Linked DNA regions of Neodiprion lecontei. The protein of the gene in region 1 purifies or fractionates together with the protein of each later gene. This does not show direct contact. Links are inferred from orthologs where the notes say so. Each region holds a gene or a part of one and is shown in the gene's direction. Other genes may lie near its edges.

Region 1 (5,472 bases):
GTAGCACACCACATCCCATTATCGGCTAATTTTTGGTTTCATCACTTCGAAATACTTAAGAAATTGTCATATTGTAATGGAACAGTGTAATTAAATTTGATTTCAAAAGATTGGAAATCTCCTTTTTCAATCACCAAGATTCAATGCAAAAAAAAGAAGAAAAAAAAACCGTAAATTTTGGAGTAAATCATTTTTCTTTCATTTCGTCAATTTTGTTTTCATATAGGCTATCACCAAAGATACTGAAAAACACAACTACATTGGATTTGAATACATTTTTTTCCCACCCCAACCGCCTCCGTGGCGCAATCGGCTAGCGCGTTCGGCTGTTAACCGAAAGGTTGGTGGTTCGAGCCCACCCGGGGGCGCGTTTACTTTTGGAGTATTTTTCAGTGCGTAGTGACCCTGGTTCACATGAATTTTTACTGAAATTTTGGCGATAAAATACAGAAGGTATTCGGGTAGAGACGTAAGTACTGTAATAAACAGCCCAGAAAAGAAAATCAGTTTTAGTCATGATGTTACGAGGTAGACGTATAATTTGCAATTACTTTTCATAAAAACTCATTTGGGCATTTAGAAGCGCTGGAGATTAAGAGCGGCTGTGCTTACTAAAAGTTAGTAATGAATTGTCGTTTTATGGAGGTATCTCAACATCTACAGGTAAAGGCTGGAGTTATTCGCGCGAAAACCGTTATCCGTTTAAAGGTTTGTACAGCTCCGCAAATTTAAATACTCAATATAACTTTTTCTTGTTAGCCACACCACGTGTTAAATGAATTATCTGTCAATTCTGATTTATCTGAAAATTTTATTGTGGAGTGAACTTATAACAATTTTCACATGAAACAAATCAATGGAACAATTGTTATTAGACTGTTGGAAAGATTTCTCATTGTTAACAAATCCTGGTGATAAATTGGGTGAACTCAATTACTAGGTTGTGATTCTTCTTGAAAAACAAAAAAATAATTATAGTCTGGAAACCATCTTATGTAACTTCCAGACAGTTTCAAAAAATATCATTCGAAAATGGTTCAAGAATATTTGTTTTTTGTAATTTGAGGTGCAAAGAATTAATTTTCGAACGTGGTTGGCTGCCTCCGCAGTTGCTAAGATAGGGATCTGGCTTCGAGCGCTACCGGCTTTCGTCTACACCTATCACGAGTTTTCATTGAATTCGACAATACGAAATTGCATAAACAAGCGCACATACTTAGTAGTATGCTCTATCCAACAGAACATGTAAGTGCTGGTGCAAGTAACGCTCCTTATTACCCTGCACGATGTCTTCTATGCTTTCTACACCTGTGTAAGGTTTGCTTCCCTGGTGCATATCGAGCAATTTTAATAATTTTAATGCAACGAGTCGCGCATTGCCTGACCCCAGGCGTGAAAAAATCACGCCGTACTATAGGCACATACTCTCTACGAAACGAATGGCATGCTGCCTACGCGCAGGCGTATGAATATGCACGATTGCGAGCAACCACACGCATGCGTGAAAATCAGTCCACGATCTGAGCGGAATATCGGGCCGGCAAGTGAAATACACGCGATGTCTACCCCCACTTCGCGAGCATTTTGAGACAGGAGAATTGACCAATCACGAAGTCAATTGAGTGGAAGGAGCCAATAGAGGAGTGAGAGGTTATGCAGTATCAGGGTATCGCTTTGCGGCCTGCAGCCTACGCCTGTGCCGGCTCGTCGTTCTTTCAGCAGGCTGTATTGCCGGAATCCATTTTCCTTTATCGACCAGCATCGCGGCACGAGGAGAAAAACTGATAAAAAGACTCGGAAAACGCCGTCAATTACGTAAGTAATTCATTATTATGCAGGCAACTTTTAATCATTGTTTTTCACAATATTCTTATTGTTGCATTACGTAAAATGGACACACGAGTATTCTTGAGAATTGTCCGGTTAAAAAGAGCCCGGTCGGCTTAATTGCGACGAGTTATCTTCCCAATGTTTACACATATTTTGTAATATTTTTGGTGATTCTCAGTGTCCCAAGGTATTGTGTTTCACTTCATTTTCTTACAGGCGTATAGAATTAAGACTGAGAAAATCCCTTGTACCAAACTTGAGCTGTGAGATGTAACTTTTTTTAGGTTAGACTTGGTACACATAAATTAAAGCTACTGTTACATCAGATTTTACTCTCACAAATGATAAATCAATAATTTCTTATAACGTTCAGTCCAAAAGTATAAAAATTAATAAAGTTTTTTTATATCCAGGTCCGCTACGAAAATATGGCAGCAAATTTATTCAACAGGATCGGCCAGGTGGGCCTTGGAGTGGCTCTTGTTGGTGGTGTAGTCAATTCTGCCCTTTATAATGGTTTGTTGCATTTTGTTATTTGTCCACAATACTCTATTTGCTGAGTTGTCAAATGCACCAAGTAAAATACCTATGATTATATTTTCAATAAACTTGACACGATGAAATACGACTCTGACAGGCGTAGTTCTAATATTATTATGCTATAGCTGGAATTTATAATGTAATTTTAAGGTTTATTGAAATAATAGATGAACGATGTTTGAAGTTCAACTTAAATTTTATTCTGGCTTATGCCTCTGAGTCTCTCACTGTAAAATGTGTTAGCATTTTCAAATCATGTACAGATAAACTCCAGATAACAACCTCGTAAATCCAAATCGGTTGAGATGATAATTGTGTTCTAAAATACTGTTAACGAAATATTATTTGATGCTTTGATTTAATCACCACTCCATCCAATGTAAAAGTTTCCTCATTTCGTGATTAATTCAGGGATAACCTTGTTGAAGAAAATAATTGCAAGGAAAAAAGTGTTACAATGATTTAATGTGTGTTTCAGTTGACGGAGGGTACAGAGCGGTAATATTCGATAGATTTGCCGGGGTAAAGAATACAGTAGTGGGTGAAGGGACGCATTTTTTCATTCCCTGGGTTCAGAGACCTATCATGTTTGACATTAGATCACGCCCAAGAAACGTCCCAGTCATTACCGGAAGTAAGGACTTGCAAAATGTGAATATCACGTTGCGTATATTGTTCAGGCCGATACCAGAATCTCTGCCGAAAATTTATACTGTTCTTGGAGTTGATTATGAAGAACGAGTACTGCCATCAATTACTACCGAAGTGTTGAAGGCTGTGGTAGCGCAATTTGACGCTGGGGAATTAATCACTCAACGTGAAATGGTATCTCAGAAAGTTAACGAAGATTTGACGGAACGTGCTGCTCAGTTCGGAGTAATTCTGGACGATATTTCAATTGTAAGTACCGCCCTGCGTGGCGTATATCACCCGATTTCGCCAATGTCGAACTTTGATTTGAATGATTTTATTTTCAGACACACTTGACATTCGGCAAAGAGTTCACGCAAGCTGTTGAGTTGAAGCAGGTCGCTCAGCAGGACGCGGAGAAGGCGCGTTTCCTCGTAGAAAAAGCCGAACAACAGAAGAAGGCAGCCGTCATAAGCGCGGAAGGTGACGCACAGGCCGCACTTCTGCTTGCCAAAGCGTTCGGCGAAGCTGGCGACGGTCTGGTTGAGCTTAGGAGAATCGAAGCCGCCGAAGACATTGCGTACCAGCTGTCACGTTCTCGCCAAGTCTCATATCTTCCCGTTGGTCAAAATGTCCTCCTCAACCTCCCCCAGTAATGCAATAAATAAAACTGTACATAGACTTGAGAAAATCGTCTCTTATAACACATTCTCGCGACAAACTGACATCATTACAATAGAGAATATCACACGTACATAAATCATTTATCGTACAAAAACTAACCATTGCAAATACAAGGGATAACAACTACGGCTTCAATTGCATTGAGTAGAGATAATACATTGTTCAGTGCTATTCCTTCGTTCATCGGTCCGGGTATCGCGCAGCTACTGTACATTGAGTATAACCGATAAATATTGCTATAAGTGTTCCTATATTAACTGTGTTTTTCATACGCGAGGTAGAGATTCCAGCCTGGCTATTTAGCAATTTCGTATATTATTTCGCTGATTTCACGTAATGGGAAGAGCATTTTCCTTGGATCTTGGCAAGCCTTTGATTAAATTGAGATGTTCTGCTGCAATCAAATTTCGCTCACCACGGTGTAAACCGATTCTCTTCCATTCGCACACAGAATCACTGTAAAAGTACGTAATCGGAAGAATCTTAAAATTGTTTTGATGGATCACCAAAGAGAGGTAATAACGAAGAAATTTTAACAAGCAATTTTTGTTTAAAATCACTTATCAAACCCGTGGCGAGAAAAGAGATTTCACTGTTTCAATAATCTGAGGCAACCTGAGATGTATTTCAGGCTGACTACCCTACGTGAGTTACGGATACAATATATAACAGATTGATGGAAATAGCCTACCTGCATCCTCTCGCCGAGAAAACATTCACAAGCACGGAAACCCCCGAAAAGTATTTCGAATGGTCAAATTGTTTTTTTTTTCTACTAACGTATTGAGTTTATTTAGAACTGCAGATGCAATTTATGCGTTGTACATGTGATATTATTCATTGTTACAAGGGACACACCTATTTGCATTTAAACAAAAAAGTTCAGAGTTACAATTGATTGTAATGATTCTAGCCGAATGTTTAATTGAAAATAACACGAAATTGTGCTGTAATCAATTCTAGGGACTATCGAGTGTACGAAAACCAAAAAATGTGCATCTCAAATTGAAATGTAAATTCTGATGACGCATGTCATACAACAAAATGCTTCGAATTTCGACGTGATTTCAGTTTTGTTTACTTGTTATATTCTCCTCCCTGCTCGTACCCACAAAAATCAAACAAATACAAAGTCTAGACTTCAGGAGGTCACGTGTTACCGTAGCTTAGTCATGTTAATAAAAAAAAAGTGGCATATTTTATTTTTATTTGCCATGTTACAGCTCTATGTAATAGAAATATTTTACCAATTTAATAGTTTTGTAGAAACACGAATTTGAATATTTTTTTCACCTTTCCTTTCATTGCGTGTGACTTTTTTTAATTCATAGACTAAAGAAAATTCAAAGGTAAATCGTTCAAGCATGGAAAATAGAAATTAATTAGTGAAATCTATAATGTCATCTCTATTTTTCCCTACGCATTCTTAAAAGTGAAACGAAACTGTCGTTTGTCGGTTTGACTGTTAGAACGTGATAAAGTCAAAAGCTATTCGACCGTTTATCTGATTCTTGCGTCGGAGAACTGAGCAGTGAACAAGACTGACAATTTCGTCGGCGGTGTCTCTCGCCTCACTGCCCGCAAAATGACTTCTTGAATTTAACGCATCGAACGAAATTCAGCAGAGTCTAAAGTGTAGAGCAAAACTTTTATGTACATACTAATATATAGGTAAGTATTATCGGGCATGAATGCAAGGATATCCGTACTGTAACCGTACGAAACAACTTGGATGGTAAATTATGTACGAATGGATCATGCCAATTAATTGAATTTCAAGACCGGAAA
Region 2 (4,693 bases), on another chromosome or scaffold:
GGGTTGATTGAGGAGGATTGCTGAAGAAAGTCAGCCAGGGGTATCTTTTGAAGCAAGCGACAGAGTGCCGAGAGCGTGAAGGTAATAGCAGGACCCTGCATTAACTGATTCGCCAACGGTAGGTTTCTGTACAGGAAGCACCTCGCATCGTGCCTCGCTTAGTCGTGCCGACCTTCCCAGCTCGGTAACGTCCCATTTGTAATGACGCTGTCTTGAGCGATCTTCAGTCAACGCGGGGATTGTCTGACACAAAAACGTGTTCACTTGATTGAAAAAATCGTGAAAATTACAGGCATAGTCCACCTGCGAAAAAATTACCCCCGTAAGCATGCGTATATATTATGCATGTATACTTGACAGAAGTGTATCACGATGTATGATTCATTCCTTGTTATTTTTTTCCCTCTTTACGAAGAGCCAACTGCAGGGGAAACCGTGACGAAGTCTACGATCGAGGCAACTTGCGCAAATAGCATGCATCCAAGTTGAATGGAAAATATACGGGAACTGTAATCCCGCCAACAAATGCTATGGTGGTTCTTTCTTGCAGGAGACAGGTATTCGGACAAGGCGTAAACGATAGAGTACATTTCGGTGAGTACAATTTGAAACTTATATACTTTTGGAATTATCAATATCTTCTCCCGAAATCGATAAACTCATTCATTTTCATTCCATGATTTCGTTGAATCGAATGATCGGTACTGCACCGGAGACTTACGATGTCACCCCTGTTGAACGACCGTTTGAAGTGTGCCTACCATTTCAATCTCTGTTGGCATGATATGCGGTCGATTGACTTGATTTTTATTTGCCGAACACTGCATCACACCACACTGCAATCACCAGATTGTGAATTGGCAACGTGTGATATAGTGTTTCATTGTGACGGTTCGAACGCCGAAGTAAGCGAGTTTCATGCAGAACGTATTGTATGATGGACGGGCGTTTTACGCTGCTGATGACGTACGGATCACCAGGCAATTCTTTGTATAATTGACACCCGCACTGCAACTCTCATCTTTTTTAACGGTGTCATGCTGCATACCATCTTGTCTTACTCACCTTGACGGGAGAATGCGATTAATCCATTGTTTGCGAATCCTGGCTGCTCGTCGCTGTCACCGGAGCCACGTTGCCTACATACCATTGTATTACTCCCCCAGAGAAGGAGATCTGTCACCTTCCCCTACGGCTGTAAGACGTCGGAACGCAGTTTAAAAATGTACGCAATTCCTTACATCATTGATACAATATCGGACAACAATTTTACATGCGTACAACTTGAAGAAAACATCTCTTATTGTCAGATGAATCTGAGACTGGCAAGTCAACAGCCCAGTCAAGTATTACTCGTCGATTCGTCTGGTCCGGATAATTCCATTATTATTTTGTGTTGTCGCTCTTCATATTCCGTACTCCTTATTTTTTTGTTCTCTACTAATTCCTTTTGGATTCTTGGGTTGTAATTGTTATTTGCGTATTTTTACTGCTACGGCGATCCCATCGTATGCGAATACACCGTACAACATTGTGATAACCAAGCCTGTATGATAAAAAAAATTATTGAAGGTGCAACAATTGAGCAAGCTCACCAGGAGTTGGAATATTAGCACTCTTGTTGTTGTGCATAATTTCCATTTCGCTTATATCGCCTAGATATAACGCTAATACTGCTCTCATGTCATACCACTGTGTTAATGAAGATCGCATCTTGTATGCTCTAGCTATCGTGTTAAGTAGAGGTCGGACTCTGGTCTCCATGTGGAAACGGAACGCGGTATACAGTTAGTCGACTGCAGTCGACTGCGTGATGTGTGGCAGTTCTGCAAGTACATTTCGGAACACAGCCATGGTTCGAGTTGATGACAAACGTCAGTTTAGCCAACATCTAGGTTGCCCCATACATAACCTACACGGGTGTCGAGACCGAATGTAATGGTTGGGTTATCCCATTCTTATTTGAGTTTTGCAAACCAAAAACTAAGATCCCGATTGTGTGATTAATAAATCAGACGCGACATCAAAAAAAAAAAAAAATTATGCTTTCAACAACGAATTCACTCTTTCGGGGTATTAGCATAGCCAGAGTATGTAAACCCAATATAATTCTGACAATACTTTTATCGAAATTTAAATTCGTAGTCTGCATAAAAAAAAAAAAAAATAAATAAATCAAACTGATTGCGTTGGTGAATGTCTCAGAGAATTCTATTAACTTGGTTTAAATAATGTTTTTTTTTTGCAGGACACTGTGCGTATCCTTTCGATCAAACCGAAGATCCCGCATCGGTACAGTTCCTCGACTCCGATGAACACGATCGTCATGTTCGTCCCTCAACAAGAGGTTAGAACAATTGTTTCCGTCATCTTGCGCAATATGCGCATCGTATAGCAGTTATTGATAGAGGCATACAAGTAATGTCAGCAAATAAATATGTTCAGTTTTAATTGTATAGTATCATTTTCATTAGGCATGGATCGTAGAGAGGATGGGGAAATTTCACAGAATCTTGGAGCCAGGAGTTAATCTTCTGATTCCTGTAATAGACCGAGTGAAGTACGTGCAGAGTCTAAAAGAAATTGCAATCGATGTTCCCAAACAAAGCGCAATCACGCTAGGTAGTACTGATACGTTACTTTCAGCAGTTCCATAAAACAACAATCACACAGCTCGGTGATTTACCGCAACCTAGCAAACTGAAACAAGCCAGGAAATTCTGATCCACATGTAGAGTTGTTCGAACCTCGCCTCAACTGTAGCACCATACCTATCTGCTTATCATTTTAATGATTCTATCGCCAACTATTACTCAGTATTATCAAGTCATGAATAACTTTTCAGATAATGTCAACTTGAACATTGACGGCGTCTTGTATTTGAGAGTGAACGACCCGTATCTGGCATCTTACGGAGTTGAGGATCCTGAGTTTGCAATCGTTCAGCTGGGGCAAACAACAATGAGATCGGAACTAGGCAAAATATCGCTAGATAAAGTGTTCAGAGAAAGAGAGGGACTCAACGTTTCCATTGTAGAAAGTATAAACAAGGCCAGCGAAGCCTGGGGAATAACTTGCCTTCGTTATGAAATTCGTGAGTAAAGTTGTTTCTACCCGTCAGTCGCAGTAGCACCGACAGGTCGCATTTGAGGTCAACTTTTTTACCAACTATCTCAAATGCGACACACAATTAATTCTCTTTCAGGCGACATTAAACTACCAGTGAGAGTACAAGAAGCCATGCAAATGCAGGTAGAAGCAGAGAGAAAGAAAAGGGCTGCTATATTGGAATCTGAGGGTACGAGAGAAGCTGACATAAATGTTGCAGAGGGAAAACGTCAGGCCAGAATCCTCGCGTCTGGTAATTTTGAGTACCATGTTTTTTTTTTTTTTTCTCAAAAATTATTCCAACTGCTGCATACAAGTGTTGAGACATCCAATGATTTTTCATTCATTTACATCTTCATCTTTACCGAGTGAAGCAATACTTGTAGCTATTCAGGTTAATCTGGCTGTTGTAATAATCATTTCGTTCATGTTTCAAATACAAAATCCAAATGACCAGAGGCTGAGAAACAGGAACAAATCAACAAGGCGAACGGCGAAGCAGCGGCTATGTTAGCTGTCGCGGAGGCGAGAGCCAAAGGTTTACAGGTTGTTGCCGGATCTTTGGGTTTGGAAAATGGCAGAAATGCCGCATCGTTCAGCATCGCCGAGCAATACGTTCGTGCATTCAACAAACTAGCCAAAACTAACAACACTATGATCTTACCGAGCAACCCTGCCGATGTTCCCAACATTGTTGGACAGGTATGTACACTAAATTACGTTCGATCATCCAAGTTATTATTCAAGTGTTACGATGATTGCACTCGTCAAAGTTGACGATACATACTCTATTTTGACACATTTCAACTAGCATGAAATTAACCTACTCTTCTGGTACTATACAGGCGATGGCGATATACCAGCATATCGCACCCCGTCCACAAACACCGGACGATCCAGCACCGCAATTTAAGTCGAAAATCCCGCTCACCGTTGATACCCCGGATAACGCTTATGAATATTTTAGCGATAAAGAGGAGCTGGAGAAGCATAGAAATTCTACCAGTAAGAATTCGCAAATATTGTAAAAGTTTTCATTACAAAGTAAATAAATAAAAATTGAAAATGTAAAAATATCGAATAGTAGATCAAAAGCGATTGATTGGAAACCCTGAGAAAATTTTACAGACATAATAAGGGCAAACTGGATTAACATGAATAAGCTTGCACACTTCATTTCAAAAAGTGTGCATTTTAAGCGAACACGCTTGAACTTGTTTCAGAGACACTCTGTAGAAAAAATGTCAAAACTGGTGTGCAATCTTGTAGGAAGAATATTGAAAGTAATTCATCAATTTTCATCAATACTTTCAAGCCTAATTTCCGATCTTGAGATTAAAAGAGGCTCCTCGTTCATTTAAATGGATCGCTGAGCTTAATAATATTGGAGAAGTTGCATAGATCGCAAGATCCCAACTCCAATCAGGTGGATGAGAAATGAATTGAATGGCATTGCCTAGTGATGCTTCCGAGTAAAAATTCACTGGACGTGTAGGATGGTATTCAGTTACCTGTGACAAATCAGCCATCAAATTATGCGATATGCACGACCAGGCCACAGTTGGTTACAAAGAACCTGTATTAT

Evidence for each region.
Region 2: the proteins of protein l(2)37Cc (region 1) and stomatin-like protein 2, mitochondrial purify together in Homo sapiens (affinity purification with western blotting; 3 studies listed by BioGRID, with this or other methods). This does not show direct contact. The link is inferred for Neodiprion lecontei from reciprocal best matches to the Homo sapiens genes PHB1 and STOML2.

The regions. Positions count from the first base shown.
Region 1 is NC_060261.1:13,957,718-13,963,189, reverse strand, and holds protein l(2)37Cc, read left to right. Parts: upstream 1-1,661; 5' UTR 1,662-1,815; intron 1,816-1,876; exon of another isoform or gene 1,877-2,017; intron 2,018-2,243; 5' UTR 2,244-2,258; coding exon 2,259-2,346; intron 2,347-2,848; coding exon 2,849-3,270; intron 3,271-3,347; coding exon 3,348-3,656; 3' UTR 3,657-4,959; downstream 4,960-5,472.
Region 2 is NC_060266.1:26,734,938-26,739,630, reverse strand, and holds stomatin-like protein 2, mitochondrial, read left to right. Parts: upstream 1-1,842; 5' UTR 1,843-2,042; coding exon 2,043-2,090; intron 2,091-2,248; coding exon 2,249-2,347; intron 2,348-2,474; coding exon 2,475-2,622; intron 2,623-2,845; coding exon 2,846-3,094; intron 3,095-3,205; coding exon 3,206-3,361; intron 3,362-3,565; coding exon 3,566-3,810; intron 3,811-3,953; coding exon 3,954-4,136; 3' UTR 4,137-4,184; downstream 4,185-4,693. UniProt on the Homo sapiens protein: Mitochondrial protein that probably regulates the biogenesis and the activity of mitochondria.